2 linked regions of the Arabidopsis thaliana genome follow. The protein of the gene in region 2 interacts with the protein of the main gene of each other region in a pairwise test. Each region holds a gene or a part of one and is shown on either strand. Other genes may lie near its edges. The genes, in order: bHLH104 and AGL79.

The links.
Region 1: the proteins of AGL79 (region 2) and bHLH104 interact in a two-hybrid assay, tested with the Arabidopsis thaliana proteins (one large-scale study listed by BioGRID).

The regions. Positions count from the first base shown.
Region 1 is NC_003075.7:8,291,260-8,307,221, reverse strand, and holds bHLH104 (basic helix-loop-helix (bHLH) DNA-binding superfamily protein), read right to left. Parts: upstream 7,826-15,962; 5' UTR 7,146-7,825; coding exon 7,090-7,145; exon of another isoform or gene 6,805-7,089; coding exon of another isoform or gene 6,767-6,804; coding exon 6,458-6,766; intron 6,374-6,457; coding exon 6,293-6,373; intron 6,212-6,292; coding exon 6,049-6,211; intron 5,962-6,048; coding exon 5,719-5,961; 3' UTR 5,555-5,718; downstream 1-5,554. Other genes in the region: HCD1 (3-hydroxyacyl-CoA dehydratase 1), read left to right, coding at 1-276; IBR10 (indole-3-butyric acid response 10), read left to right, coding at 1,590-2,312; AT4G14420 (HR-like lesion-inducing protein-like protein), read left to right, coding at 3,484-3,551, 4,367-4,481, 4,579-4,668, 4,756-4,854, 4,947-5,051; ACD6 (ankyrin repeat family protein), read right to left, coding at 8,862-9,515, 9,599-10,131, 10,260-11,009, 12,479-12,554; AT4G14390 (Ankyrin repeat family protein), read right to left, coding at 15,139-15,780, 15,863-15,962.
Region 2 is NC_003074.8:11,898,347-11,916,208, forward strand, and holds AGL79 (AGAMOUS-like 79), read left to right. Parts: upstream 1-10,523; 5' UTR 10,524-10,772; coding exon 10,773-10,957; intron 10,958-12,666; coding exon 12,667-12,745; intron 12,746-12,852; coding exon 12,853-12,917; intron 12,918-13,017; coding exon 13,018-13,117; intron 13,118-13,294; coding exon 13,295-13,336; intron 13,337-13,902; coding exon 13,903-13,944; intron 13,945-14,143; coding exon 14,144-14,274; intron 14,275-14,428; coding exon 14,429-14,534; 3' UTR 14,535-14,820; downstream 14,821-17,862. Other genes in the region: AT3G30280 (HXXXD-type acyl-transferase family protein), read left to right, coding at 16,020-17,351.

The sequences.
Region 1 (15,962 bases), on a different chromosome or scaffold from region 2:
GTCGTGGCTAAGGTTGGGTCAGGTATCGCGAGAAGGGAGCTGTTACTGAGCGGGAAGAAGCTCAAAGGAGAAGAAGCGGTGGCTCTCGGGATCGTGGACTCAGCGGCGCATGATAGTGCGGAAGGTGTGGTGGAGGCTACAGTGAGCCTTGGAGAAAGTTTGGCCGCTAAGAAATGGAATGGTGAGGTGTATGCAACCATTAGGAAGAGTTTGTATCCGGAGCTTTGTCGGATGGTTGATTTAACGGCAAATAACTTGGCCACTCACAACCTCTAGAAACTCTCATTGTCTTGTTGGGAGAAAAATGGTTGAAATATGAATATTGCCGACAAAAGTCAACGTCCATTTCACTAAGCACGTATTTGTTTCTCACCAATAAAACATAATTAATCTAACCTACGTCTTTTTATTTTTCATTTAGTTGAAATTTTAACAATATTAATAACCATATCAATACAACTATTGATAAGTTATATTAGCTAGAATATTTGTAATTCATACTTGATAATCGTACTAGCATCAGCAATATATGTCACATCATGCATCTATTTATAATATCCAAATTACGTCATATGACCATAATCGTATATATCGCCATAAGATAGAATGAGAAACGGGTGCAGTCTGATCAACCAAACTCAACCGAATTAGACAACCCACGAGAAACCTTATATGGTGTGGGGAATTAATCCAAAAGACAACATTGTATATAGAGAGAGGAAGTGTTACACAAAAATAACCATTTTTTTTTTTTTTTTTGAATGTAAAACCAATACAATAAGTCAGTAACGAAGATGGAAAAACCAAACAATAAACACATATTTTCTTGTTACACTTGAGCTATGCTTTTTCTTCTTCTGTCGTTAATTCCAACGAGATGTGAGTGGACATCCAAGGCGGACGAGGAAACGACTATGAAGATCAGATAGTGTGACGGTACAATTCTATTTAGATCGAAAGTAGTATATTCGGTAGCATTTCGGTATGTTTTTACCGAGACTTACTGAGTCATCCGATAATAAAATATATAAAAAAACGATTATAAAGATAAATTGTATTAAAAAAAACATGTGTAACTAAAATTATAGATTTCTTTAAAGAAAAAAGGAAAGAAGAAGAATCCTATGAGAAAGGAAAAGATGGTTTATATCATTTCTCATTGACATTAGTGAGGATAAAACTTTTTAAAGAGATTTTGAATTTTCTCTAGAAATTTGCGAAAACCCTTTTAAAAAAACTAGATGCTCTTTTTGTAGAGAAAATATTTATTTTCATAATCTTGATTGAAAAATTAAATTTTTTTTTCAGAAAAATCAAAAACTAAAAACATGTTAGATATTAGTACCATTCAAGGTCTAAATTATATTTGGTATTAAATCCAAATGAAATTATGTTTGACCAAAAAAAGAGATCTCGTACACGCCGGCCCATGGGCCTTTACAACAGATTGAACCAAAATGGAAACATAGACCAATCAGGATAAGGTATATTTCTCTCTATATTTGCACAATTCAACAACAACACGATTTCTCACACATTTCAAGTTTTCATTATCATCCAGAAATCTTCTTCTTCCTCCGATCACCACCATGTGTACGTTAGAGAAACGCGGCGATCTCTTCCTCCTAACCCTAACCGGAGACGGCGAACACAGATTCCACCCCGACACAATTGCCACCATTCTCTCCCTTCTCGAACAAGCCAAATCTCAATCCACCCGTGGATCCATCCTCATCACCACCGCCAACGGCAAATTCTTCTCCAACGGATTCGATCTTGCATGGGCTCAAACCGCCGGATCCAAAACCGGAGCCGCAAACCGGCTTCACCAAATGGTTGAATCATTCAAACCGGTGGTAGCAGCGCTTCTCGATCTCCCTATGCCGACGATCGCCGCCTTGAACGGCCACGCCGCCGCCGCGGGATTGATTTTGGCTTTGAGCCATGATTACGTGTTCATGAGGAAAGATCGTGGGGTTCTGTATATGAGTGAAGTTGACATCGGGCTTTCGATGCCGGATTATTTCTCGGCGTTGGTTAGGGCTAAGATCGGGACGAGTGCGGCGAGGAGAGAGCTGTTGTTGAGTGGGAAGAAGATTAGAGGAGAAGAAGCGGTGGGTTTGGGGATTGTTGACTCGGCCGCGTATGATAGTGAGGAAGGTGTTGTTGTGGCTAGTGTGCGCCTTGGTGAGAAATTGGCGGCGAAGAAATGGAGCGGTGAGGTTTATGCGTCGATAAGGAAGAGTTTGTATCCGGAGCTTTGTGGGATTCTTGGTTTAGAGACTAGAGTGTTTGCAACACCTAAGCTCTAAGAAAGCGTCTTTCAGAGAGTGAATCTTTGGTTTATTTGAAAAACACATGTTTTGGGAGAAAGAGACAATGTTAAACTCTAGAACTGTGATCACAGAAATAATAAACATGTTCAATGTTGGCTTGTTCAGTGTTGTTGTTGGGCTTGTTCTTAGGCTTGGTTGTTTAAAATATGGAACCGGTTTAATCGGTTTTAGAGCTAATTAGATGAACTAGAGATAACCGGGTTGTAGTAGTTATCGGAGAAGGAGAAACGGTGTTGTGAATTTGTGATTGCTGAAATTACGCCATGTTAAACCGGTATTAAAACACAAACTGTTTTTCGTTCGAAAACGCATCTATCAATCTTGGTCTTTTATGTTCCTAAAAGATAATTTACACACTCCCAGACATGTAATAATTAAACCAGCATTAGCATACAAGACGACAAGAAAAACTCACCAAAAAATGATAATTTTAGTTGTGACCCCTTTTTCACAGTATAAATTCTTTTTAAAACTTTATGCAAAATTGTATTAAATTATATTATATGAAATAAATTTAAGTAAAATTGTTGCTTTTTAAAATTTAACCTCTTTATATTACCATTATCATAAAACAGAATGAATCTAAATAGAAAAATTCCCAAACAAAATCTCAACTATTTAAAAGTTGCCCAGATTCATATACACGATTTCATATATAAATTTTTTCAGTTTTATCCTAAAATAAAACTAATTTTATTTATTTAAAATATCAAATTTATATTGATTTTCTAAATAAATACCAAAGGGTGATAAAATAGTTTGGTATTTGATTTGAGGTTAGTTTTGATTTAAAATGTTAGTAATAATGAGTCGCGTTTTATTGGTTGCCGGCTTAAATACTTGAAATGACTCGGACGAACGTCATTGGCCAGGCAACGTGTAAAGCATCCTACGTGGCGTTTACTTCCCAACGAAGTAGCGAGTACAAAAACCAACATCATTGTACTCGCGCGAGTAGGTCGACGAAATAAAAATCTCACCTTTTTGACCCCAAAAATTTCTAAATATTTCAAAATCAGCCTCTTCGTTTTCTTTCTCCTCCTGTCTGTTGATTTAAAGACCCAAATCTGACGCTTCTCTCTCTCTTTCTGGTATCTGCGTTTGATTCGGAGAAGAAAAAAAAAAAAAAGGCAAAGAGAGAGCTTCAATGGAGTTAGCTTCTTTCCTTGGTAGAGCTCTGTTTGTTTCCGTATTTCTTCTCTCCGCATGGCAAGAGTAAGCAATTTCCTCTTCTTTACTCGGTTTAGATCTGTAAGTAGGATCTGCTTTTTCTTTATATCTGAGAAAATTCAAAATCTGGGGGCTCTTTGTCTCTGTTGTCTTAGAGAAGTGCACAAATTATGAATCATGGATTTAGGTTTTAGCTCGATTATAGCTGAGTGAGTGAGTTCTTGGAGGAGAAAGAGAAATAGAATGTTGGACAGTGAAGGAAAAGTATGGATCTTGCTTGCTTTGCTGGGGTTGAATTTGATAGATAAGATATCTCTGGTTAGATTTTGTTTCTGATTGGTCAATAACTGTCGAACATTGCTATGTTTTCTTCTGTTATTACATCATTCTCTAATTTTAGCACTTTGTTTTTTTTAAGTTCTTTCTTTTATTACTCATTAAGTGGGTTGTCCTGAAGTTGCGAAGTTTCTTGTTGAGTTGGTCTCGTTGGTAGTTGGTAGTTGGTGGTTGGTTATTTAAGCACATGATTCTAAAGTCTTGAAACCAAGAAAATCTTACTAGGTGCTTTGTTATGGTTGTTGTGAATCAATTTGACTCAACCAATGAACTCATATATTGAATGCCTGTATAAGGAGTTTCTCTTCTAATTTCTTGTTTTAAGTTACACAATTCTTCTGACGTTACAAATGTAGTATCTTTATACGTTGATTGAAGAAAACTTTCTTTGTTCCCCTTGACTGTCTGCTTGGTTTAGTTGAAAAGCATTGCTATTTGAGTCTCTACAGAGACAGTTTACCTCACTTTTGTTCTTTCCCTCACTGATTGAAAGTTCCAATATTTTTAATGACTTCATTGTTCAGGTTCAATGATTTTGGTGAAGATGGTGGCCGATCAGCTAAATCTTTGAAACCAAAATTCAATGCCTTTGTAAACCATGTGACAACTCACACTGGCCAGCAATTGCCACCAGTCGATGTATGTGCTTCTTCATGTCCATTCTTTGTCCAAACACAGTAACCAAATCGTTTTTTTTTTTGTTTTCCTGTTTTATTCACTTTGCTTTGGTTTGCAGATGAAGATTCTTGTTGCTGCTGCTATAGCCTTGAAGGGTATTGGGGGACTATTGTTTGTCTTTGGCAGCTCATTGGGAGCTTATCTCTTGGTATGCACCAACTGTTCCTTCGAATATATTGTCGCTTATCAGAATGACGAAAACAACCCTGTTTAACTCTATGAAATCTGGTTTCAGCTTCTGCATCAAGCCGTTGCCACCCCAATTCTGTATGATTTCTACAACTACGATGTTGACAGAAAGGAATTCGGCCAACTATTTTCAAAATTTACACAGGTTAGCTAATGTCATATTGGTTGTTTAATGAAAGTTTAAACAACTGTTGACATAGACCTGAGATCTTTTTCTATTCTGTGTTAACTTTTCAGAGCTTGGCTCTTCTTGGAGGACTGCTCTTCTTCATTGGAATGAAAAACTCAAGGAAACACGGTAGGCAACTCAGGAAAAAGGCTCCAAAGGCAAAAGCAAACTGAAGAAGCCATATCTTTCATCGGTTTTATTCGGTCTGTATTTTATTTTCATTTTGGAATCCAGGATGGGTTTAAAGAGTCTATCTGATGAGGCCATTGAAAGGCAAAATCTCTGCAAATCATTTTGCTTACTTCAAGAAGCTTTTATGACACTTTTTTGTAGAAATATTTATGGATTATTGTTTCTTAGAGACACCACTTCAATGTTATTGTTCCAACTTATTTCACAACGCGACTGATTTATTAACCTACGGAATAGCCATCAGCTCAACCTTTGTAAATTCATTGTCACTTTGGTCCTAATTGGCTAATTTGTTGCTACTCAGTGAATGGTAAAAATAATTATTCATATAGCGAAGAATACAACAGCAAGAAGCTCTCGTAGCTCAGTTGGTTAGAGCACCCGTTTAGTAAGCGGGAGGTCTTGAGTTCAACTCTCAACGAGAGCAACATTTTTGGTCTGAGCTAAAGTTTTTGATAACTGAACTTTTCGAACTCATAGATCAGAGAAGAATCACAAGTTTCTGGAGTTATATTTATTTTATAAGAAAAATACAACCCAAGATCAAGAGTAAAGCTTTTACACTTGCCAAACGGAAGAATCCTAAACCAAGTGATTCAGAAATCTCTATGAGTTCCCTATGGGTACCAAAAAAAAACAATTGAGAGTTTAAGCAGCAGGAGGCCTGAGTTCTTGATCACGAGATGTGTCACGAACGGATTGAGGCATATAATGCCACATTGGCATGTAACCGTAACTTGGATAAACAGCCATTTTGTTGTGGTTAAATGCAGCTGGAATATGAGGTATGAACCCTGAAGATGGAGCCGTCATAGACTTTAACTGTTGTTCTGTCTTCTCTTTATCCGCCTTCAACACCAGCTTTTCCTCCCTCAGCTCGTTCTTCTCCGCCTATAAAGAAACATACAAACTTAGAAATCTGTTCACATCCCATTGAACAAGATTCTTGGTTTAGGTGAAAGTGAATGAACAACCAACCTTGAGACTCTTGATCTCCTCTAAAAGCTTCTGGTTAGTTTCTTCAAGCTTAAGAGCTTCATCTCTAAGTTGATTCAATATACGGATTGCATCATCGAGTATAGCCGGTTTATCAGTCTTAGGAGTCCTCCCAGGCTCCAAAACCGAGCTCAAATCCATAAACCTAACAGAACAACAACAATTTTTTTCCCCTTGAGACAACTCACTTCACAAAACAAAAACATAGACTAAGCTCTAAACATACCTCTCATTTAGCTTCTCCCTCCTCAACCTTTCACGACACGCTTTAGTTCCTCCTCCTCTGCTACACGATCCAGTCCTTGCCCTATCAACAACCATCACAGATTCAATTAAAAACACAACCAACTACCACCAAATCACAAAAAGTTTATATTTTTTCAAAACTCACCGCTTTCTGGAGCAATCGTCATCTAAATGTTCCTGTTCTTCCTTAACAGCTCCACCAGATGAACCAGAATTGATCTCTACTTCTTCTTCCTGCACAACTTCACAATCTTGTTGCCCCACCTGTTCTGGCTCTAGCGACAAAACTCCATTATACGAGGACAAATCCAATTGAGAAGCTCCAATACTAAAGACTTCATCTGGCTCCTGCTGCAAATTCACACCATATGACACAAAATCTGGAAAGGTATCCTCTTGATCAGTCTGCAAATTTACACCAAACTGTGTGTAATCATCAAGTTCTGCTCCATTGCTACAAGAGTCATCATGACCAAAAAGATTCACATCCATCAATAGGAGTAAATATAAACAACAACATCCATAAAGCTACTTCTTCTCCTATTCAATTTAACAGCTTTCAGATACATTAGGGTTCGTCAAATTATCATCAAAAGACACAACCTTTCCCCCTGAAATGCGAAAAAAACAACAACACTTTTCACAGAAATCGAATTGAACATTAAAGATATGATTTTGCAATTGAAAAAAGGGATCAAATTCGATAAAACAACTGAATCGAAAGAGATAGAGAAAACAGAGGAAGGTGAAGGAAGAGAAGAGTGCGAAAGGACGAACCTTTGATCGAAGCAAAACAAATCAGAGACGAAATCATCGTCGAGAGAAGGATACATTTGAGAGTCTCCAAACAAATTTGAGATTTGTGGAAAGCTTCAACGGAGACGCCAATATTGGAAAAGGAACTATAAATTATAGAGATTATATTATTAAAGCGATCCTATTATTTAAAAAATTCCGAGTGACGACAAGGAGATAAGAATGGTGGGAACTATATTCGCCGATTTGATATTAGTGGAAATAAAAAACAGAGTGTTTTTTTTTACTCAAATTCCTATTCGGGAAATGACAAATCGCCTCTAGAAATACACTTTTTAAAGTATTGAAAGATAGACAAACAAAAAAAAGACAGAATCATATTTTCATGCGTAGATATTGGGGAATTTTATTGAATTTGCATTTGTTCTTTTTAAGATAGTAACTTTTTCATCGAGTGGAGTTGAGTAAACCAATCCGATGCAAGAACGTCTAAAGGAAAAGCAAATCGTTGATACGTTTTTGACGAGCAAGAGCATGAGCTTGAGAACTACACAATCTAGGATCAAATTCAAAGAAATGAAAAGGAAACCAACTTTCCAAAACGCAAGAATTGGTATGGTTTTATGAATGGTTCCGCCATGTCAATTCAGGTTTAGAATCCGCGAGTTGGACATAATCTATTTTATTATAGGGTTATACTTTTAGATTTCTAAAAAGTCAGGGTTATCGAGTTAGTATATGGCGGATTACAATCTCAAATGAATTAACTCGCATATCCTGCGAGTTAACCAATAAACAAAATAATATAATTAAAATTATCAATATTTATTTAAAATATAGTAATTTGTGATTTGTTTATTTAATTTGTTAGATATTATTGATTTTTAAAATAATATTATAATCTGTCATAAATTTATTTTACTATGTTTAAAAACTAATTGTAAAAAAAAAATTTACTTCTCAGAATAACTAAACAAGAAAAAAATACACTAATCAACAACAAAATTTACGGTCATAAAATGGATTGGGTTAGTGTTGGTGTGCTCTACGGTGTTGCGCCACTTCGCCAAAACTCACACAATTACATGGTGGGGTTTAGTGAAGCGAAATAAAGAAAAATTTGTATACATAAAAAAGAGAGAGAGAGAAGGAAATCAAAAGTAAATGAGGGAATAACAAGATGAAAGATTAGTGGAGATATGATCAGAGATTCATATCTTGATAGAGCCAGTCTCATCAAAATCGTATAAACATCAACATTGACAAAAAGAAGAGTCTACCTAGTCATGTTGTGGTCAGTGGTTACAGTGAACGAATAAAGAGGGTCCCTAAGTTTTTGCACCTCTTGGAACAATCTAACGTCGTATTGTCGTTGCCAAACGTATCTTCAAATTTTTATACCCCAACAAAAATAATAATTCTTGTGAAGTATCGTCTATATTGCTCTTGAAAACGACTCATGTGGAACGCACGACGAGAATAAAAAACAATTTACCTTTTTTTTTTGTTAAACTCATCTCCTTTGAATGTGGTTCATAAATTCGAGAGATTAGTAAACTGGTATCCACTAAACCGAATAATAAAATATCACTCGATTATTTTAGAGGAAAATCTCTTCGAATGATATACTTTTCACGCTTTATTACAACTACAGATAATTCTGATAGGACTTCGAATGAGTTGTATGATCAAGATGCCGCTTCTCAGAGCTAGAGACCAGCATATCTCGTAGCTTTTTGAAAGAAAAAAAAAAGAGAAGAAAAATATCCTTTGATCTATAAACTTTTGATGATTTATTCGGAACACGCCACACAACCAAAACAAGCTTTGATCAAAATCACAAACAACTCAGATATGTCTATAGTCAGCATAAAAGTCTTGAGAAATATACCAGAACTGGGCGGAAGGTGTGAGCGCTGTAGCATGACGTGAGGGCCAAGGATAAAGATTGCGAAAAGGAAGAATCCACCAGATATAATGCTAATGGTGACTAAAAGCCATTTCACATGGGCAATTGCAGTGATCACGCCAAAAAGGAATGCTACGGGCATGCATAGTAATGAAAAAAGTAGTAAGGGCAAGGCCACATGTAAGGATTTGAGGATGAGTGCTAGATCACCCAACTGCGCCCAAATAAGAGTACATATTGTTGCAACAGAACTTTGCATTGCCAAGATGTCAAAAAGCAGAAAAATGAAGAGAGTTGGGTTAGTGGCCAAAGTTGCCCTGCCCAAGTTTGGTTTTTTGCTATCGCTGATATAACCACCTGGTATTGTAAAGCCTGCAGCAAACGTCACTGTGGCTACAAGAGCCGCTACCACGAGAAGAGCGTTGACGTAATGTCTGTTTTTCTTAGGGTCTAGTGGCACTGACTGTATTGTTAATGACTTAACAGATTCGAAACCACTTGAGTGAATAGCGTATAATAAGAGCGCCAGTGTCCACCTCTGTAATTCCAAAAATATGGAGGTCAAGCTATAAATCATTTATGAGGGATCAAATGTGTTGTATGAAACGGAATCAGAAATACCTCATGAAAGATGTAGTTGGGTTTCACCTCTGACTCGGCAATATCCCTAGCTCTTAAGCCGCTTTTGTTTCGTAATTTCAGTATCTCGTGGTTACGGCTAGCAAGACAAGTAATGGAGTCAAAGTCCCAGTTCATGACGGCAAGGTGCAAAGGTGTATTCCCGTCCACATCTTGCCCAACACCCAGATGTTTCGTATCTTTATCATGCATCAACATATATGCAGTAAGAGAGGCCTCATTTTTTGCCGCCACGTGGAGAATGTTCTGACCAAGTCTGTTAAGAAGGTATTTTGAAGCTGGACAACGTTTTATAAACTCTTTAATAATTTCGTAATGTTCGTTTTTTGCAGCCGAATGAATTGGAAAAGAACCATCTTGGTCGCAGACATAAACACCCTTTGTTGATCGGTTTAAGATGTTGCATAGTCCTTTATAATACCCAATGGATGCTCCGTATGAAAGACAAGTCCTACCATCTTCATCTTGCTCGTCCATAAGACTTGGATATTCATCAAGAATAACATCAAGGACACCTACTCAAACAATTGGGAACAACAATTAGCCATCTTGGGGAGGAGATTCTCGTCCCAAGCTGGTTTTACATAATTTTAACAGATTAAACGTAGCTGTTACTGATTATTAAAGAAAACAAAAAACAAACCTATACTTTTGGCCTTCAAAGCAACATGTGCAAGATGTTTGTTCCCTTGTAATTTCGAATCTAAGTTAAACTTCCTCACTTCACGGTCCACGTTGTCGTCTGTGGTTTTCAAAATTGCTTTCACAAGGTCTTCAAATTTATTTCCAGCGTCTACGGCTTCGTACAAGGAAGATATTCCCTTGTTATTTCCAAGAAAAGGAGCATCCTTGTCCGCGTTCACCAGACAGGTAGCCATCTCCAAATAGCGTCCTTCAATGGCGTAGTACAGAGCAGTATTTCCATCTTCGTCCTTAAGAACATGTGGATTCAGTCCCTCACTCTCTTCAGTACTCAGACTAGCTAAAGCAGATGTTACCGATGCAACAAGAGCCTCAACAACTTTGGTATGACCGCCATGAGTAGCCACATGTAGCGGTGTCTGACGGCTTGAGTTTTGCTCGAATAGAAGGCATGGACATTCAAAGATAATCTCCTTCACTAGTTCCAGATGACCCCATTTAGCAGCAATATGAAGAATTGAATCTCCTGTATTGCTCTTGACACGTTCCATTGGCGTTCCATTGCTTCTCAACTTCTCCAGACATTCTTTTTCCCCATTACTCATTCCACCAAAAATCTCCGGAGTCATCTCGACATCTTCACCAGGGAGAGCGAAAAGATCCGACAATTTAAGGTTAGTACGGAACTTTGGCACAGGTTCGGTGTCGCCCGTAGGTGACGTGGTGCCAACTCCTCCGCTGTGAGAGAAATCTGGTAAAACAATTTGTTACCAGGGTCAAAATAGTTATTTACTAGTATAGTAGTTAGTATCTTATGTAGATATATCGAAAGTTTTACAGCTCTCTTATCGCTAATTTTTATCACTTCTAACTATTTTGTATCACTTACGATTGTTTTCTTTTTGCCAAAATATTTCTACTGTTTTATTTCATCAATCGAATTAACCACTCGTCTTACATTTCATGAGACAAAATTTGTGAGTTCTAACTATGAAATCAATTAACTTATGAAAAATCTAAAATATAAATTTGTAAATATCAGAATATAATAAGTTAATGAAATCATAAATATCTTTATCTAATAGTCAATTCAAAATTAATCTAAATTTTAACTAATCGAGATTTGTCAAGTTGAAGACTCATAAGAGAAAAGAACATAAACACTTGCGCGTTTTGTTAAAAAAAAATTATGTAGATTTTTTACTAAATTATATAAATCTTGGATAGTGACATTTATTAGTTCTTAACTATCTATATTAATATTTTTGAATTACATTTTAGAGAGTAACTTTGTTTTCAGTTAGTATTTACAAAGAATGTCATTACTTATAAGTTATAACCAAACAACTTTACAATTAAAAGATTTTAACATCAATTATAAAATAAAAAAATCATAAAATTTAAAAGAATGATTCTCCTATCATTAAGATTTATTTTTTAATTATTTTGAATCATCATATAAGACATAAAAAGTTTAATTTGTCTGTATTCTTGTGATTCCAATTGTTTAAAACGAACATATATTACTCAATTAATAGAAAATAAATTGAGTTCAACATCCAACATCAGCTAAAATATTTAGACAATCGTTCAGAGCCATAAAAAAAATAAGATAAAAAATGAATTCGAATCTTAATGAACATGAAATTTAACTTAGTAAATATCCAAATTTACAAAGTTTCTATACGGTTTTTTTTATAGTTGAAATGTTTAAGTTTACCTGATATAGTAAATTTTTTAAGTTATAATATTATAATTAATAAATCCAAATTCAATTAAAAAGTTTAAAATATTATAAATATATTTAAACATATAAACAATTTAAAATAATATAGGACAAGTTATATTGTGAGACATGTTATATGGTGAAACAGGTTTGAATCGATATTAATAAAAAGTTAAAATATTATTAACCGGTAATTCATATGGGTTATATTTTTATTAATTATTTTGTTAATAAAAGACATGTTGAATAAGACTAATTTTATTAAATTTTTATAAAACAATATAATTGTTATGTGGTATATTGCTAGTTATATCCTAGTGTTATATCCTAGTTTATAACAAGAATCAAGTAGAATAGTTTTTCCTTATCTTTTTTATGTAGATTGGTTGGTTTTGCATAGGTGTCAATAATAATTTATATAGGGTCACTATACTCGTTAATAAAGCACATGTAATGAATATTCAAAATTTGTGGCCACCCTATGACTCATGTACCTTTCCGTTGATCATGAGAAACTAACATTGACCTTTGTGCCTCAATTCTATCTAGATCTGCTCCAGAACTGTCCATCGCAAACCTAAAATAATCACACAAATGGTTTGAAAAGTGAAAACACAGATTTAAGTTTACTAGTTACTACCACGTCCACAAACAAAAAAGTCAACCATTGCATGCAGAAGGGGCAGAGAAAAAGACTTACCAAGTGGCAGAAGAATTTGAGTAATGCAAGAGCTTTTGCTTAAGGTTCGTCCCTTAGTTTTAAAAGTCGTTAATGTCTCGAGTCATGGTTATCGAGAGGAGTGGTGGTCTCCTATAAATAAGCAAAGGCCGTTCTTATCTTCTGTCTTAAAACTGTCTTGGATGCAATCCACCACACACAGAGTTTTCATATGAAATTGTACATGTCTTGAAAGCCGGCGATTAAAAGATGACCCCAGTTACTAACTCATTAGAAGACTTTGAAGTCGTCTCCTAATATAGTTGGTCTAAATTTGTATTTTTTTTTCCTGGGAGAAAGTGACAAGATGAGTAATGCAAATTCTAAATGTCGTTACTGTCTCGACTCAAGTGAAAGTGGTGGTCTCCTATAAATAAGCCAAAGGTCGTTCTTGTCTTCTGCCTTAAAACCTATCTTTGCCTTAAATGAAAAAAGCAATCCACCACACACAGAGTTTTCATATATATGGAATCTTACCATGTCTTTAAAGCCAGAGATTAAAAGATGACCCGAGTTATACTAACCCATTAGAAGACTCTGAAGTCGTCTCCTTATATAGTTAGTCTAAATTTGTATTTTTCTGGGAGAAAGTGACAACGTGACCCTGTTTGTTATATGAATCACTCCTACCTCTTCATGATCTTTCTCTTTATCTTGCAGTAAGCTTCTGGATTGGGTTTTTATCATTTCTTTCCTAATTACGGTTTCACTGTTGTAGCCCAACTATACCCAGACCAGAGAGCAAGTTGAGGCGGGGTTTAAGCGGATATAGCTAAAACTTATAGATAAATTAGTGATTCATTGATTGTAGGAATACCAGAAATTTTAGTTCATCGCAAGTTTATTAGTTTACTGTTGCTGTATATTCATTCTCTAGCCAAAAAACAATTACGCTTGAAACAACTTTTTTTACATGTACATCATACTTTATATTTTTATTTTATTTTTTTCCTTATAAATTCATTGATATCAAAACAAGATTACAAAGTCAGTATACAGTAATTTTTGGAAACAATTTCTTACATAAACAGATATATACGCCATATAATGAGAAATATACACCAAAAGAAGTAAATTTGACGATGTTTCAAATAAGTCTTACTCGCTATAAGATTTTTAAATCCTATATTTTCTTTCTCTTTATCCGATTTCGCTCTAACGCAAATTGTTTGCGTGGATAGCTTTTCTTGGCTTGATTTCCAAAGTGCACACTGCATGGTTAAACCTATTGATTCTAACATAAGTTCTGAGGCTATGACTATCGGATATTCGGATACCAACACTTCCGTAACCGAGTCTCTCTATGGGGATTTGACTTTGACTTTATGATCTTTGAAATCAACCTTTGAAATTGTTTCCGCTTGTTAACTATGGTTTCCTCCTTCATCCCAAAATGCCCTATCTTCCGCAGTTGTTGCCTGATATATTTTTCCTTGATCGGAAATAGAAAAATACAAACCCATTTCTCCATCCTAAGAAACGGTTTTGGGTTTGCAAATTCAAACAGTTTCTATCAATTTATCAGTTATGGACTCAAAAGTTGTTATGTAGCATTGGTTATTGTAAGTGATTGCTATTTCTATAGAGAATTTGGTAACTTAGCTTCTTAGTTTTTAGCATGTAATTGTTGTGTAGAGTGATTCGTTTACTATGATATGAACCCATTTTACAGTGCTAACTGCTAAGACGTCAAGGACGGTTCAGCATAATGAAATAGTCTTCTCATTGTCCTCCGTCACATCACTAGTTGTATGGTTTATACACATTATCTTATAGGCAAAGATGTGTTTGTTTTGTTTCTTGTGTTGGTTAGCAATCGAATCATGTGTGTGTGTTTTATTTTGTTTGCTAAACGGCTGAAGTAACTTGCCGTTTTTTCGTTTTTAATTACTGTAATAGTATTCATGTTGCGACTAACATATAACTTTATTTGGCTGATTTATTTAGGCAAATTTTCATGTTTGTTTGGTGGCTTACTTGTCACTTCATCAATTAAAAAAATGATGTCGGATGCAACAGTCCATGTCATCATCATCAAAGGAAATACGAAACGTTTTTTTTTTCAACTCGTCTTCTTCACATGAGTTTTTCACATCATCGGAATTTCCAATTCATCACCGTCTTCCTCATTCTTCTTTCATCCTTCTCTCGATACGATTGGGTAAAGAATTTGTATTTAACACCGTCGATAAATGGTGTAGAGTTGTGCAAATAGATACGGAAATAACGCACGACAAGCTTGTGAAGTCGGTGTTCGATGACTACGGATTGAGTGAGTTGAGCTATCAGTTAAAGCTACCAAGATACCGCTTCTCAGAGAGACCATCATATCTAGCTTTTTATTTTTATTTTGAAAGAGAACAAAAATCTCCTTTCATCAATAAACTTTTGATGATTTTTTCATACGAAGAATGCCTTTGAATAGGCTACAAACTCTTAATAACAACCACAAAAAAGAAACTTTATCAAAGACACAAAAAGCCCAATTATGTCTTTATACTGCATAAAAGTCACGAGAAAGTCACCAGCGTACTTGGGAGAAACGTATGACCGTTGTAGCATGACGTGAGGGCCAAGGACAAAGATCGCCCAAGAAAAGAATAAAACAGATATAATGCAAATGATGACTACAAGCCATTTCACATGCCCAACTGCAGTGACCACGCCAAAAAGGAATGCCAAGGGCATGCAGAGTAAAGCAAAAAGCAGTAAGGGCAAAGCCACATGTAAGGATGAGCGAATGAGCACTGGATCACCTAACTGCGCCCAAATAAGAATACCTATTGTTGCAACGGAACTTTGCATGGCCAAGATGTCAAGTACCAGAAAAATGAAGAGAGTTGGATTAGTGGCCAAAGTTGCCCTGCCCAAGTGTGGAGCAGAGCTGTTAAACCCACCTGGTATTGTAAAACCTGCAGCAAACGTCATTGTGGCTACAAGAGCAGCTACCAGGAGAAGAGTGTTGACGTAATCTCTGTTATTTTTAGGGTCTAGTGGCACTGACGGTTTTGTTAATGAGTGTACAGATTCGAAACCCCTTGAGTGAATAGCGTATAATAAGAGCGCCAGTGTCCACCTCTGTAACTCAAAAAATGGGGGTCGAGCTATAAATCATTTATGTGATATCAAATTTTGTTGTATGAAACGAAATTATACATACCTCCTGAAAGATGTAGTGGGGTTTCACCTCTCTCTCGGCAATATCCCTAGCTCTTAAGCCGTTTTTGTTCCGCACTTTCAGTATCTTGCTACTCCTAGCA
Region 2 (17,862 bases):
TTTTCAAATACGCAATTTTAAAATTATAAAAATAATAGTGCTTGAGAATCAAATTTGATTAAAAGAATCACGAATCAATCTTGTTATTAATCTTATCGAGAACCAATTTTTCTTTATACTAGTTTTTGTCATCTAACTCATTATGTCTGTAGGAACGAAGTGAAAAATTCAGGAAACTGAGGAAGGGTCAAATTCCTCACACAACAAGTCGAAAAGGAATGACTCGATTAGCTGATGAGATGATATGTATTTATATATTGATTTGTATTAATTTTGATAGTTGTATTTATATATTGATTTGTAAAGTGTTGAGGTACTTTCTTATGATTAATCATCAGTTTTACATGAGTATTTATACATCCACCATTACTTTAGAAACTAGAAACTTTTATATTTTTTATTTTACCGATTTGTAGAATTTCTCTTTCTTGTTGTAGAAAGTTTCTTGACTTTAGTTTTATTTTTCCTCATCTTTTAATAGGTTTTTCCTTATCGTTTAAACTAAAGCTAAGATTAACATATTTTCAGGTTTTTGAATTTTTCTATAAAACATCTTTGAATGATTTCAATATATGATTTGACATTTAATTGTTTTAGGAACTTAACATATATTCGATTGTTTAAAATAAGAAACCTGGTTTTTATTTTCCTTTTTTTTTAATTTTAAAATATAAAGTAATTACTATTTTCAAAAATGTTAATTAATTAGATGTTAATTATGTTAATTATTGATGTGCCAGCTCTCGATTGGTCGCTCTAAATCCCACGTGGACGCCTTTAGAAGTAAATAGCTTCAACTTTTATATAGTATAGATTTAGATAGAATAAGCAAATTAAACAATCATTACCTTATCTTTTATAACTCTCAACCTAATTCCCACCCCTAATTTCAATGAATAAGATTTCACTAAGAACACAAAAAAAGAGCGAGCGCACGGAAAAGGCAAATACCCCTAATCATCTAAATTTTACATTGTTTCCAAGTGATTTTTAACTTGATAAAAATAAAATCACCAAGAACATGTCACAAGATATGCAATTCAATGTATAAAATTCATTAAAGATTAAAATGAACTCAAACATAAACGCATGGTCAAAGGATATTACTTGCATCAAGTTCACTAAACACACTTAGTAACAATGAGATAGTCAACATACTTCTCATCATCCATATATAAAATCTTTGACGGACACCTTACGTATCATGTTCTTCTCTTTTATTTGAATCAAATCAGATCAGAATTCTTGAATTAACACATCTGCATTTTTGGTTTTTCAAGCTTTGCATTCACCTTCTCTCACCTTGTTCTTCTTCTTCTTACCCTAATTTCAAAATCCATAAATATCCACCAAAATTGGCGGATGTAAAGTCTCCCGAAAAACTTTATCTTTTATTCATTCATGTGGTTAGAGTTTAGCGGATATGTTTGGATGATCAGTAGTTATAAATATTGGAATAGTATTTTTGTTCAAGTACCTTTTAATATCCATTTATTGATAAACAAATGTTAAATCACAAATGAATAATATGTAATATAATTATTTACTTCAAATATATCAACAATGGATATTAAAATGTAAAAAAAATTATCTTAATTTATTACATACAAATATAGACAATAAATGTTATTTTAAGTAGCGGAAAAAAATGAGAATGAGAGAAAGAAAAATGAGGTGGAAAGAGAAAAAAAAATGAAAAAAAAGATGTGAATTTGTTTGTCAACGTTTTCCTTTAAACATAATGATATGTCTATAATTTGCATGTTTTGTGTGTTCATTCATCATCGTTTTGAGTCTAGTTTCATATCTTTCATCACTATTTTATATCATTTCTCATCATTCTTGCATACTTTGCATGATTAGGATAGCTTTGCATACATATTGTATTTTTGAGTTGTTTTCAGGTGATTTGGGCTGTTGGCGAGGAAATTGGAAGAAGCGAGCCAGAACCAGAAGACATACTCGACCCCCAGGTCGAGTACATCCAACACCATACTCGACCCCCTGGTCGAGTGACATTGGAGCCATTCTTCCAATCTACTCGACCCCGTGGTCGAGTAACCATAGCTCAGGCCACTCGATGACACCACTCGACCCCATGGTCGAGTATCACTACACCACACCACTTGACCATCACTCGGCCATTCACTCTACCACATCACTCAACCCCCTGGTCGAGTATCATCACTCAACACCAACACCATCACTCGACCAAACACTCGATCACATCTTCAAAGTCTACTCAAATTCGCACTTAACAAGACAAGCTGAGCACAAGGACGAGAAGAGGAGAAGAAGAAGTGTTTGGAAGCGGTCTGGAGCTTCATCCGATCACGAAGCCCATCTCGGCCCATTATCACTCTATGGGCCGGTCGATTAGGTTCCCGGCCCATCAACTATCATTTTATTTTGTTTTGTATAAATAGGTGTCTGAGGGTTTTGTCCTAAGACATCCAGTCGACATTGAGTTTTTGCTTCAGTTTTATTTTCTGATTTACTCTGGCTGCGCCGCTTTGCTTCTGTAACCTGTAATTCGATATTTTTCCAAGTTATTCAGATTCAGCATTTGATTTCATCTGTCATCTTGTTTCTCTACTCTTTATCTCTTTACTTATGCAATATTATCATTTACCTGCGTTTATGTCTTTGAGCATGTTGTTTGAGTAGTGACATAGAGTTCTTAAGGATGGGATAGAATGGTTGTGGAATCCTTAGTCTGTAGAATGGTTAAGTTTTAGAATTGATTGAAATCCCTTCAGGACTAGTTGTGTTTACTGCTTATTTCTTTCTGATCAACTGGAATTCGATCCAAAGCATTCCCGCACCCAGAAGGTATTCGATGGAATGCTTGATCCACTAGTTCTTGAGATATGCATCTCTATCCCAAGGGATTGGCCGTTTAGAGCGTGTATTGACTTTATTAGTCGGTTCTTATTGCCTGTATAGTTAGATTCCGTTAATGGGAATTAGTCTAGGCTTGCTTTGCTTGAAGATTTCTATCACGGGAGTGAATAGATCTGTTGTTGAACCTTTTGTCTAGAGATAGCTTGATTGCGCTTGTTAACCATCCGAATAGGCTAGGATACCACTCCATTTGATTACCCCATCCTTAGGAATTTCTCGTCTAACTGATTTCTCAGTTTTATCGCTATCGCTTAATCGTTCTCATTGCATGTTTTTTAGTTTTTGCAATTACTCGACCAACTTACTCGACCACACCTAGTGTCTGGCAACAGACTGTGCAGTCGAGTACAGTTGTCTCATTTCCTGTCTGTTACTCGACTAGCATACTCGACCACACCGAAGGGCTGGCAACAGACTGTGCAGTCGAGTATAGCTGTTTCATTTCCTACCTGTTACTCGATCACATCCTGCTTCTGTCATCAACCAGTTGTGGTCGAGTGATTTTAGTAATTCTGTTAAAATTTTTGTTTTCTGCATGTTTGCTTATGACTGTTAGAAACCTCAAAACCGTTATTGCTTGGCTTGACTTAGTGACTTCTGATCACATCTCATCTGTTTGCATCACACCTTATTGGATTGACACCTAAAATACTACAACGACAAGATAGTGTTTTAGGATAATTGACTAAAAACATACTATCACAAAATATCTTGTTGAAGGATATTTTGTTATTGATTTGAATTGAACCGTTAAAAAAAATTATAAAAAAAAATATAAAATGTGTCTCTTTTGATATGAAACTAGAAAAAAGTGTGCCATTATGTATCTCACCCTATAAATAGAGGCAAGTTCTTTATATCTTTTGCTTCCTGCTTTAGAAAAATGAAAAAGCTGCTTAAACAATACCTTGTGGAACTTGTGGATCTGTATCTATTGGGCGTCTACGGTATTTACCTTATTACCTAATTCCAGTTTTAGGTGTCTCTATCTTGATGTTTCTCTTAACGCTTTGTATTTATCTTCTACTACCCATAATATTTTACAGATATCTTATTGAAGTTATCGTCGATGATGGTTGCCAACTTTTCATATTTATTATTTTTGATGAAGCACGAAAAATATTGTTGAAAGCCACTGCATCTAACTTGGCTTCTAGAAATGTAAGACTATTAAATTACCATAACTATATCTTATTTTTCATACTCCAACCTTTTGTTTTTAAATAGAATGTAGGTGAAAACGACCCCTATGGAGAGATTGTACCCTAGGAGATCCACAATATAATTAGAAGAGATTTCATTTTCTACATCAAAGTATCATGCACTGCTAAACACCAAAGTTTCTCCGTCTCTAAAATGGTGACACATTCCCCCTGGTCACCAAAAGGGTATGTCACAATCCCTATATTCATATATATTTATCTACTTCTGAACTTTATTTTCTACCACTTACAGTCATAATATTTTTGTAAATACCAAATTGTTACCGATCAATTACCAGTTTTCCATGTGTACTAACGACCCAACAATTCCGTTCAGCCGTTTGGCCGGAATTTGGTCGGAAAGTCACCAAAAAATATTATGTCAAAAAAGTTCCAACAATCTTAACTGTTTTCAAGTATATTATCACCAATTGTGGTTTCAAAGCTCTCTCCCTAGGTTAATTGAACAAAAAAAAACGTAGAACAACGCAAAACAAAACTTATATACGTCACAAGTATGTTATCAGATGAAACACTTTCCACGAATAGATCTTCTTCACTTAAGGACACGAAATAGATGGGTATTTTAGGTTTCATTCCAAAAATGTTGAAGAAGTATCGGATAGTGCAATTACAAGATACAAGGACTTCTGTAAAGAAAAGTCTGCGTGGCAACCAAATGAAATAAGCAAGGATACCAAGGGAGGACCAACCGGACAGAATAATTTACACTGATCTCAAGAAGAGCTCGATCTCCTCCTACCAATATTTTAGAATATTCATGGGATATTACCGACTCGATCGATGCCGATTCATCTCTATCTCATTTAAGCCGACCTAAAGATTCTAATATAATGACTTAATGAGAGCCTCGCCCAGGCCAGAAGTTCAACACACCTCTTGCATCTCCCTTTTCTTCTTATAAAAGTTAATCTCACATACGAGAGAGCAATAAGCCTTTAGAATTGCACTAGGTACTTTTTATGCTTTTTCATTTGGTTCTTCTATACACTCTTCTTAATCATGTTAACTCAATTATTCATTCACTTATTCAATTCTTATTCATCACTATGACCCATGGTTCGAAGGAGTTCTAATGAACTGAATTATGATTACTATGATTTTCTATATTTTTTTCTCTCTTTTTTTAAAGATTACTAGGATTTGGCTTTTCAATAAGCAAATTACTGCATGAACTAAACTGATCACTTGGTACATCAAAATTGGTAACAGGTTTCCTAAGTACAACGTATCCCAGTAGGGCTCATTACACAAAAAACATGTACTTCCCCTTTCACGTATTGGGCAGCAAGCTCCATTAGGTTTAGGCTTAAAAACTAGAGCTTTGGGGGAATTTTAACATGTGGGCTTAAGCCTAATGAGATAGGGTTTGGGTTCGGTCGTCTCAAGATGGAATAATATTGTCTTGTCTCACTTGTTGTTTTAGTGGAAAACTTGGTGTTGTCATACTATAAAGAAGAAAAAGACATCCAAGCAGATTGAAACTCCAATGACACTCACTACCCTTAGATCAATAATTAATGATTTTTATTAGATGAAGTGCTTCTATGCCATTTATCAATACGAACGAATAAACTAAACATAATCTGCTAAAGGTTCTATCCAAGAAACTAAGTATCGACCCACAATTGGTATGCACTTGCATTGATTTTTTTCTGCCAGGAATTTTCACTTTGAATGATGGTTGTTTTCCATTAATATTTACTCTTGAGACCATTTATATTTAAAAGTCTATAATACCAAAACAGGGATGCCAAATATGGTATATATATAATACTTTTTCTTGCTACACAAATAAGGTTTTCCAAAACTTCGAAAATAATCAAGGGTTTCAACACTGGGAAAACTCTAGTGTTCCAAAACTGTAAATTCTGCGTTAAATTTTTGAAACAATCATAGATTTTAATAAGAAGAATATATAAGATTGGTTTCTTAACTTATACCCGTAGTCGTTATTCGATCCAGAGGTTGATGCATTGGTTTATGTTTTATATAAACCACTGTTAGTTTGCCAATGGTTTCAATAGTTTCTTTTTGTTGTCGTCCTACCCCACTTAGATATAATAACCAAAAGAGGATGCAATTTATAATTATTGTGATGGATGCTCAAAAGGAAAAAAAGTTGAAAAAGGGTTGATGGTGCAAATTGGAGCATGCAAGAATGGTGCCCAATTATATGCATAGCATCTTCCCTAATCCTCAACTATGTATTTTTCAATTGAGTATACGAATATTTTATGCTTTAATGTTTTAATTAATATTATATTGTTTTTTTTAAAAAATATATGTTATTAAAGAAGTTCTCAAATCACATTTGTTTGGGAAGTCTGTCAGTTGGGCTTTTGCCTAATTGGTTTACCTGATAGTCAGAAATGCAGGCGGCCTGACTACCCCCTGGCATTAGTCGGAAAGCATTTCAAACTCCGGACAGACAGTGTGGTGGTCCTTCAGGGAGAAGTCCACTCTAAAGTACTTCGGTGCGTTTCTACCGAAACTGACCGGATCAGTCGATAATGTTTATCAAAAGAAAAAAAAAAAAAAGAAGTTTTGCTTTTGTATGAAAAAATGGAAAAAAAAAAAAGGAAAAAAGAAGTTCTGTTTCTTTGAACTTTTTTTTATCCAATGATCTTAAAATACAATAGTTAACCCATAATAAATTATGCAAATAGCTAGCTCGAGTATATATTTTCGCACATATTTGGCTAGGGTTTACACAAGTTAATCTATATATATATATATATATATATATTTATATACATACTGATAATTGTTGCTATTGGCCAACATTAATAGAGACGGCAGTGCTAATTATTACTTCAAATATATTTGTTGGATCCTTATATCTAAATCGAACCCTTAATTATATCACAAATATTGAGAATAGTAGTAAACATTACATATTTTGTGGTGTGGACGGTTCCTTACCCTTAGAAATAAACAACTTGTATGTATATGTATAGAAATTAGAGAGCGTTGGGAATTAAAAAAAAAAAGGCATGTCCCTAAATCTCATCAAAGGGTCAAGTGCAAACACACAAACTTGTCCTAGGAATTGCGACATCGTGTAAGAGTTCCCCTTTGGCCTACATTTGTGGTACCACATCTACTTGATTCTTCAAATATATATATCTATACCCACTAGATGTTCCCAAGGAGCAAGTCATCCATCATCCTAGTAACCCATGTCTTATAATCCCATTAATGAAAAAAGTGTATATCGTAATTTTCTGATAGATCTTTTTTTACTTTTCTTTGTCTGGCTAAAATTATATTATCTTTTAAATTTTTTCATACAAAAATCTATTATCTTTTTTAATATTTTATAATCGCGACCGCGAAATCGGATGGTCCCCAACCTTTGAAAGCTCAGCGTGAGATTTGAATATTAGGGTTTAGTACAATTTGGAAGCCTAATTTAAGCATAATGGTCCCCATAATCTTCATTATATAAGTTGGTAATAGTACACTAAATATATGAATTTAAAATAAAAACAAAGTGACTAACTATTAATATATGTTAGTGCAGCGGACCACATTTGAATGTGAACCCATGAAAGGTCTATAGCGATCATGTTTTTATTACTAATCTAGTACTAAATCGCATTAACCCAAATTAAGTTACTTTTTAATTTGCATTGGACCACCACTTTAGGAACGTATATACATACAACTAAATGTACATTTTGCATAATACATGTAAACGTATATATATAATCTCATGCATTAGTATACATTATATATACGCCTCTAAATGTACATTTTGCTATCTCAGTTACCAATTCACCACCCTATAGTTTGACCTTCTATGCGAAACTCAATCCTCGTAGATGTCTTATGCCCAAATTTATTTTAACAATGTTAAATAGCGTCTAGATTTATGAAGAAAAAAAAAACTTTTTAATCAACCAAATATCTTTTATCAAACGTAGACAAAAACTCATTTAGAGTAGAGGATGTTGACTCTTTGTTCCTAAGCTCATTTTCTTATGGAAATATATAGTTTTGTCTTTAAAAATTTTATCAAACGTTATTCACGATCAAGAAAAAAATATAGGGTGAAGACAGTAAACATTTTTGTCGTAAATCTCTATATATATATCCTCAGTTTATATATATGATCAAGAATAGCATGTGTTTATTTATACTCATGTTCATTTTTGCCTCAACAATAATTTGTTCTTTCTAAATAAAACTGAAATTAAAGATCAAATTTGTTTGTTTGATTTTTGTTCTTTTTGTTTTGTTGCTAGAGTTAGAGGTAGACCCCTAGCTCATTTTGAATTCTCATGAAGATGCAAATCCATCGGTACCAATCTCGAATCATATTCATAAAATTAGGTCTTCATAAATTATGAAGTTCAAATCAGAAACTCAAGATATCAAATGACATTGGCTGGTTTTCTAACTTATGGATGCTAATTTTTGGCTCTGCAAAACCTCATATGATGCAATGGACGGTCAAGTTTTAAGAAACTAATATGAAATTGGGATTTTGTTTTCTTTTATGAATTAAGGTTCAATTTGAGATATATATGATTGTTATAGTTTGAAGAAGTTGAAAGTTTTTTAATCTGTTTTAAAGAATATCACTTGGAGAGTGGAAGATATTCTTAAACTAACACTAACGTAAGATATAATTTGTTCAATAGAAAAAAGTGGTTATCCAAGCTACACAAACTTTTTAGACTTATTTCTCTCATTCTTCTAGAGATTTTTAATGAAATTTGTATATACTTGAAATGCATATAAAATAAATAAGAAAACAATATCTACTTAATGTCCTGTTCAAGAATTATTAAGAAATTTCACTACGTTGTTAAGTCCATTTTACTCCACCTTCTCCACTGGAGTTAGACTCTACTAAGTCGCGTTATCCTGCAGAGTAAAGATTGACTATGCATTGGACCTTGTCGATGTGAAAATGTTAAAAAGATAATTATTATGAAATCTCTACTATAACATATTTGGTTTCCTCAATTTTAAAATACCTATTTTTTTCTCAGTTTACCATTAACCAATCTATTCCGTGATATTTAATGTTTAAACCCTTCTTCAATTCTATTTAACCTACATTCTAAACAAGGTGTCCTCATTTTCAAAATCCTAAACTCATCTTCATCTATATTTCTATTTTCTGCCAAAATCATACCACAAAAAACATATACGAAAAATGACCACGGAAATTGTCTTTTATTGTTTATTTCCAAAGTCAACCAAGTTGACTGTTCTTTATATAATGATTTTTTTTTAAAAAATTATATATTGAGCTAAGAAAATATTAAGTGTAATTTTCAAAAAGAGAAAATATATTTATTATAAAAATCTATAGTGGTGGATCAAAATTCTGGTTTAAATTATTGTATCAATTTTGAGGTTCAAATTTTAGGATGGAAGAGAAACGTAGAATGCACTTAAAGTTCTGTCGATTTTTGTTAGTACATAATCCCTCATATAACCATACATATACTTATTGCAATAACCATACGTTAAGAATAGGGACCAACTTCATCGGTGCTTCTGTTAGACATTTCAAGAATGATATATCACATTCATGTATCTCCGTATATGTATTAAGACCAATGACTAAACTCAGCCATTGTAGATATAGTTCAGGTAAAACTGTCAATTGTGGATCAGTATGTTGAAAATTGTTAACTATGGTTCGCTTGTAACAGAATATAAATATAATAATAATATATAATACTAATAGTAATATATATAATAATAATAAAAAGCAAGCACTAATTATTTTATAGAAACACTTTAAAAAGTATTAAAATCTCATTTAAAACAACTCTCCAAGTTGGTAGTCCATTGATCTACAAGACAGCTCCACCTGAACCACATCCACAATGTAAAATTTAACCGTACACATAAACCATGATCATAAGATGCAACATGGTAAAATCTCTGGTGAAGTTTTCGTAATCGATGATGAATATATATATATATATATATATATATATATATATATATATATATATATATATATATATATATATACAATATATTTTTATTTTCAATCTATTTAGTAAGTACATATTTGTTATGAAAGTACAAAAATAACATTGTAATAGGTCAAGCTCTTTGTGGTGGTTTACATTGTAATAGGTCAAGCTCTTTATTATTATTTTACTATATGTATCTTCTTATCCATTCTTATATTTTATATCATATATGGTCAAAAGAACCAATCGTATCACAGCAGCATTTGTTAATAGAACTTTGATCTTGGTAATTACAGGTTCTATATTGAAATCGCAGGAGCCAAACCAGCAACTTGGGTTAATTATTAACTTCATTCACCAATAATAATAATTGATCGTCAAGACTATTTCGGACACAAAGACATAAATACTTGTTTTCTGCTCTCCCTTTCCCTAAATGTATCATTTGATACTTTCTCTTTTTCCCTCCATATGCCTTTTGTGTGTATAAATATATGTATATGAATAAGTTCACAAAAATAGAAAATTAAATCAAATCTTCGCGTAATTTCTCATCAAACTCCACTTTTCTTCTTTTTAAGAGAATCTAGGGTTTCTTCTACTACTTCTTCTTTCTTCTTTAGGTGGTCAAATTTCCAAGTTCTTCTTTTAGCTCTCTCTTTTGTTTCCAAGAAACCTGAGAAGAATTTTTGTAGATATGGGAAGAGGAAGGGTTCAGCTACGGCGGATCGAGAATAAGATAAGGAGACAAGTGACATTTTCAAAGCGAAGGACCGGTTTGGTAAAGAAAGCTCAAGAGATCTCAGTGTTATGTGATGCTGAAGTTGCTTTGATTGTTTTCTCCCCCAAAGGCAAACTCTTTGAGTACTCTGCTGGTTCCAGGTTTGAATCTTTCCTAAGCTAATTAATTTACCAACTTATTTTAAGATCGCATATTTATCTACATAAATATTAGCCTATATTTCATGTTTGACATATTGGGAAAAGTGGTATATATAGGTTTCACATAGAGGAGATTGATTTGAAATTGGCTGAGATTGTTTAATTAATTAAATCAGTTTATAGCCAATTTTGTTTAGTTCTTCCATCTCTAACTTAGAGAAGATCATAAAAAATGAATGATTGTACAATACTATATATTAAATCAAAAGAAGTGATTAATAGAGATGATCGCATCAAAAAATAATTGTGAGACATAACAGTTCCACAGATTATATATTATCCAAAAAATATGATGGAAGAATGTGCTAATTGGGCAAACATGATTACGAAATAATATACGTATTAATATAATTTGATTCTTGAGGACATATGTATATATGTTGAACATATCATGAATAAAGAGAGATCTTTCATTTCATTGTTGTGTAAGTTTGTTCTTCAACGTTCTGGAGATAATTAAAACATGATCTACATAAGTTTAAAGAGATATTTAATACAAAGTGTACAAAAAAACTTTAGAATTAACACCTGCAGGCTTAGGATCAAACAAGTAGATCTAATGCTCAAAGTTAGCTTACTTTGGCACTCATAGGAGACTTCATTTTATTTATTTCAAGGAAAAATATAATAAATTCAAGGAAAACGAATTTTAAAAAGGGTTCTTGAATCAAAATAATTTTAATGTTCTTCTTTTGGAATAAATCTGCTATTTACATTTTACTTAAAAATAAAATTGAATGTTGACTAAAATAAAAATAAAATGTTGACTATAATACAAAATAATTTTGGTGGTTTTAACTAACTGAACATATTCTGGTAATAACAAAACATTATTTATCAGAGAATTTAATATAAAAGAAATGAACTGTAAATAATAGCAATTTAATTTTTGAAAAATAAATCCAATTTTAAGATGACGATTTTTTTTTTTTTAGTAATTGTCAAAACAGAACAGTAAAATACTAGGAGACATAATTTGTGATGACACCGTCTAAATTATCTCCAAGGTTCATGTAATATCTAATGCGGTATCATTGGATCAAAATGAACGACACACCAAAAGAAAAACAATTATCTCAATATACACAAACATACTAAAGAGGGACAAGAAATCTACTATAAATAGAAGAGTCAGCTTTCGATCATGATTGTAGTAACTAATAATAGTAAACATGAAACTTTGATTTGATTATGTTAAAATAAAAATTTAAGATATACAGCTAAAATCTTGTTGGAAATTGGAAGCATGACAAGCCTTTGTATAGAGCTTTGTGCATTGCTTTGTCTTTTGGTTGGCGGAACCTAGGACTAACCTCGATCGTCACATGAAAATATACAAACCCATGAAGCTACTTTTCTAGCTTGTAGGCTTAACTAGAATGTTCAAAAATGAATTTGCTTGCAAACATATTTTAACAAAATTTGAGTAGACTTGGTGTATCGATTGCTATAGTCTAATCAATACATTCAATTAATGTATCAAATTGTTTGCAAATGTAGATTAAAGTTCTCGATATAGAGCTTAAATTAATTTAGAAATGTTTCAACTAAAGTACAAAAATGATTATTCAATATCTTCAATGTATTTGTTGAGTGATGATAGTATATACATCGAGTGTTGATTGTTGTTTGATATACTATTTTTTTAGCATGGAGAGAATTCTTGATCGATATGAGAGGTCTGCCTACGCCGGTCAAGATATTCCTACACCAAATTTGGATTCACAGGTTCTTAAGCACATTTAAGACATATGAGTATATATATATGAATCATTGTTTATGGTATGTTTATGGTAAACTTAACTATCGTGTATCGATCTTTTTATCATTTGTAGGGAGAGTGCTCAACAGAATGTTCAAAGCTCTTGAGGATGATTGATGTCCTGCAAAGAAGCCTGAGGTAAGGACTTATTACTTACGTATCATCCAAACATAAAATACATACCTAAGATATCTAAATATGTACAAGATAAGAAATTGCATCTTTATCAAATTATAAGGCACTTAAGAGGAGAAGAGGTGGATGGTCTAAGTATCAGAGACCTTCAAGGTGTGGAGATGCAACTTGATACTGCCCTCAAGAAAACTCGCTCTAGAAAGGTTATTTATATGTATACAAAAACATTGTAGTATATTTTCTATACATGCATGGATCATTTGTATATACAAATGTGTATATCTAATAATGTGCAGTTTGTGTATGCATAAATATACACAGATATATAGATAAACTACACCTAATCATGTAGTAATTATTGTTTTGGTTTGGGAGCACAGAACCAGCTCATGGTAGAGTCCATAGCACAGCTTCAGAAAAAGGTAATACACTAATTAAGAGACTATCGTTGTTATGGTTGTGCCTAGGCCTGGACGTTTGAGTTTACGGGTCCGGTTTTAGTTTGGTTCTATTTTTTGGTTTTTGAGTTTAGGATCCATTCAAGTAATTGTTTTGGATATTGTTTCCACCTAACTTTTGGTATTTCGAGTATTTTTGGTTATTCGGTCTAAAAATAACTAATTATTTTAGGTGTATAAAATGTATTTCGATTCGCTGAATATTTCAGTCTGGTTCCCGTTCTTTCAGTTATGAAGTTATAATCCATTCGGATATTTACGAATTTTGGTTCGTTTTTCTATTAAGTTCCTCTCGGTTTGGTTAGAGTTTGGTTATTTTGCCTAGGACTACTTTTGCCATGCAAACTCATGTATCTGCCTGTCTTTTTTTTCTTTTCGGGTTTGTACAAAACATTATACTTATAGTAGATCTTCACAATTAGTAGTCTTTGATTTTGAGAAATAAACACAAATACATATACTAGATCTTGAATACTTGACTCGATATGAGTTAAACTAATAAATATGTGTCTTTTCTTTTGATGGCATAGGAGAAGGAACTAAAAGAACTGAAGAAACAGCTAACAAAGAAGGTGAAAGTGATGTTAGAATCTTTGACTATATATATAACCAGTTTCTTATAAAATGTAGAATTCACTTAACTTTTAAGAGAGATTAGTCTAGGCGCTAGTTTGAACTCTCTCAATCAAGTGTCGATTTTAAATTTATATTTGAATGTTAAGCAATCGGTGACTGGTAAATAGTAACTATAACAAGTATTGAATTTGGCAGGCTGGTGAAAGGGAAGACTTTCAAACGCAAAACCTCAGCCATGACTTAGCCTCCTTGGCAACACCGCCATTTGAATCACCCCATGAGCTTCGCCGGACAATATCTCCTCCTCCTCCTCCTTTATCTTCGGGGTACTTTAAAGTTTGATTTCACATAGCTACAAAGATAGTAAAAATATAAATGATAATTTGTTAGTGTTGATCAATGATAGTAAGGTAACATATTATAGTTTGTATCAATATTTATTTATCGTGTATATGAGATGAATTAATAAACTGCTTATAGGGATACATCACAAAGGGATGGAGTTGGAGAAGTAGCTGCCGGAACCCTAATTCGAAGGACGAATGCAACGTTGCCTCATTGGATGCCCCAGCTCACCGGAGAATAGAGGTCCGAAACAATCTTGGTTTTTTAATTTTCTGTACTTAATATATAGTACCGGAATAACTTCTTGAGTTAAGTAGAACCAATCCGAATAAAAGAAAATATCTTCTGGCTTGGCATTCTAGGAACAGGCTTAAGAGGCCCTCAAGTTTCAAACTTTGAACGAATTTAGAAACATTGTATGTCTAATGTGATTTTGTATATTGTATCTACGATTTTCACTTTACTGTTTGTGAAAAATGTAATTTCAGTGTAATGAAAAAGAAGAAAAGAACTATAAACTATATTTTTTATGACATATTAATTTCTATAGAAGGTAGGAGAAAACGTTTAATCTATTTTAGAAGCGTTTTGTAAACAGATTTTGCTAAAACAAAATACTTGACAATGTTTGGTAATTTTCTAAAAGTAATTACGATATTTTTTTCAAATAGTCTTGACTATTAAATATGCCATTCAAGAGTCGTCCTCACACTAAGCCGTGTGAACCAATTTACGACTCTGCCTCGCCACGCGATTCCTCCACGCCTTAGCATCGCCGGAGAAAGAAATATTGATTCTCTGCATTGAATTTCATTTTTTCCGGGAGATAGAAACATTTGTCATATGAAAAAGTGTGACTTAAAAACTATAGATTAAAGTATTTCATATACATAAGACGATGTCTTGGTTTAATTTAGACCTTTATGTTGCCATTTGTCCATTGTTATCTTTTATTTATCGATATATTATAGTTTGTCTTGAATAAATCAAACTTCGATATATTTCATTTTGTGTTTTTCCATTTGTCTAATTTATTTTTCTTTTATATATAAAAACTTTTCTTTTGGCCATGTAGCAAATATTGTTTTTTTGTTTATAGTGAATCTCATCACAATAAATAGCCATTTGTGAAAAGAAATCATATCTTCGTCTATGGTTTAAAATTTAAATGATAAACTTCAACAAATGGCCTTGATGTTGTAACTTTTGATACAATGTAATCTAATCAAAATAAATAGGCATTATGAAAAGAAGTCACCTTGTTTTGTCTTTGCTTCGCAATTTGAATACTGTAGATTATTTCTTGGTGATTCAATTAATTATTAATGATTCATCAATCTTCTTATTACAATATGGACTTTACTTCAAAGAAGATCATGACACGCGTTAACTTTTAAACAAGCATTATGTTGAATTTCGGTTGATATATATTAGGTTTTGATTTAATATATTGTTCAAACTACATACGAATATTTAACAAAAGAAAATGTCAAAAGAGTAACACACTATGTATATTCTCTAAATCTACTAAAGAAAAAGGCTTTTTCCCAAAAACAAAATAGAAAGAAAGTAAAAGACTCTTTCCCAAAAGCAAGTGATGATGATTTGGCCGTAGTAAAATTTACCTCTATAAAAGGATTACTTCTCAATGTATTAGAGAGAACCTAATATTTAAAACAACAACAACATTACAACACATTAGTAAAAAAAAAAGAAAAAAAAATCGATGGAGACAATGAAGGTAGAAACAATTGCTAAGGAAATCATAAAACCATCTTCCACAACTCCAAATGATCTCCAAACTCTCCAACTCTCTATTTATGATCACATCCTCCCTCCTGTTTACACAGTCGCCTTTCTCTTCTACACAAAAGATGATTTGATCTCTCCTGAACAAAGTTCTCACAAACTCAAGACTTCTCTTGCCGAAACCTTGACAAAATTCTACCCTCTTGCAGGCAGAATCAAAGGCGTCACCATCGATTGTAACGACGAAGGAGCTGTTTTTGTTGACGCTCGTGTCAATAACTATCCTCTCTCTGATTTCCTGAGATCTCCGGATTTTAAAACCCTCCAACAGTTACTTCCTCTGGACGTCATCGATGATCCTTACGAGGCAGCTACTACATGGCCTTTGCTACTCGTGAAGGCGACTTACTTTCCATGTGGTGGCATGGCCATAGGATTATGCATCACTCACAAAATCGCGGACGCAACCTCCATCTCAACTTTCATTCAGTCTTGGGCTGCTATGGCTCGAGGAGAGGCTGGCGACATAGTGGCTGATCCCGTGTTTGCGGCAGCAAATTTCTACCCACCAGCAAATGAGTTATTTAAGTTTCCGGTTGACGAAAATGCCAACAAGATAAGCCAAATAACGAAGAGATTCGTGTTCAGTGCGTCTAAGTTGGAAGAGCTCAGGACCAAAGCAGCTAGTGAAGACTTTGTAGGCCGGCCTAAGCGGGTGGAAAGTGTCACTGCGCTTCTTTGGAAAGCCTTTGTTGCAGCTGCATCCTCAAATACAAATGCTTGTGATATGAAGGTATTGATCCAGCCCTCTAACTTGCGCCCCAAGATACCTTCTCTTTTGGCAGAAAGCCTGATCGGAAACATAATGTTCTCTTCTGTGGTCTTGGGTATTAGTCAACAAGAGGAAATTAAAATTGAAAAGGCAGTTCGAGACTTACGAAAACAGGGAGATGACTTGCAAAATGTAATCAAAGAAGAGGGTGGGTCGTCTTCTGCGATGATTGGTTCTAAACTAGCAAACCTAATGCTCACTAATTATTCGAAGTTGAGCTATGAGACTCATGAACCCTACACCGTGAGTAGCTGGTGCAAACTACCCCTTTATGAGGCCAGTTTCGGATGGGGATCACCGGTTTGGATTGCCGGTAATGTTGCTCCCATGTTAGAAAACGTAACTATGTTGATTGATTCCAAGGATGGACAAGGAATTGAAGCGTTTGTCACATTGCCCGAAGAGAACATGTTGTCTTTAGAGCAGAACACAGAACTCCTAGCCTTTGCTTCCGTGAATCCTAGTGTCTTGGTCTAATTAGGTTCTTATTTTATGTTAGTAATGATCAGGAACAAATCTAGAAAATTTGTTCACTGAGGGCTAAAATATAACAAAAAAAAATATCAAACATCAAATATCAAATAAGACATACACATTTCATATGAAAACCCTAAAACTTCTTATAAATACCGTATGCTCGATAATTATTTTAAACCTTTTTATTACTACTTCATTTGTAATAGATTAAACAACTATTTTATAATATAGCAAACAAGACAATCACTTATAAATTGATCTCCAATTCGATTGCGTGCAACTGTCTTCACCAGTTTCTAAGCCGCGAAACATCTCTAAAGTTTTTTTTTATGTTGTAGCAAATGGTAAAATTAACACTAACTTTAACAGCCTGTAAACCAAAAGGAAATGCAAGATGGTTTTGAGTTTGACCATCAAATGGGAAAGATCTCCAAGATTTCAGATTCTTAAATCGTTCATCTCTGCGGACATTATTAATGTATATTAAGTTGTTGCTCAAGCGACAAATCTC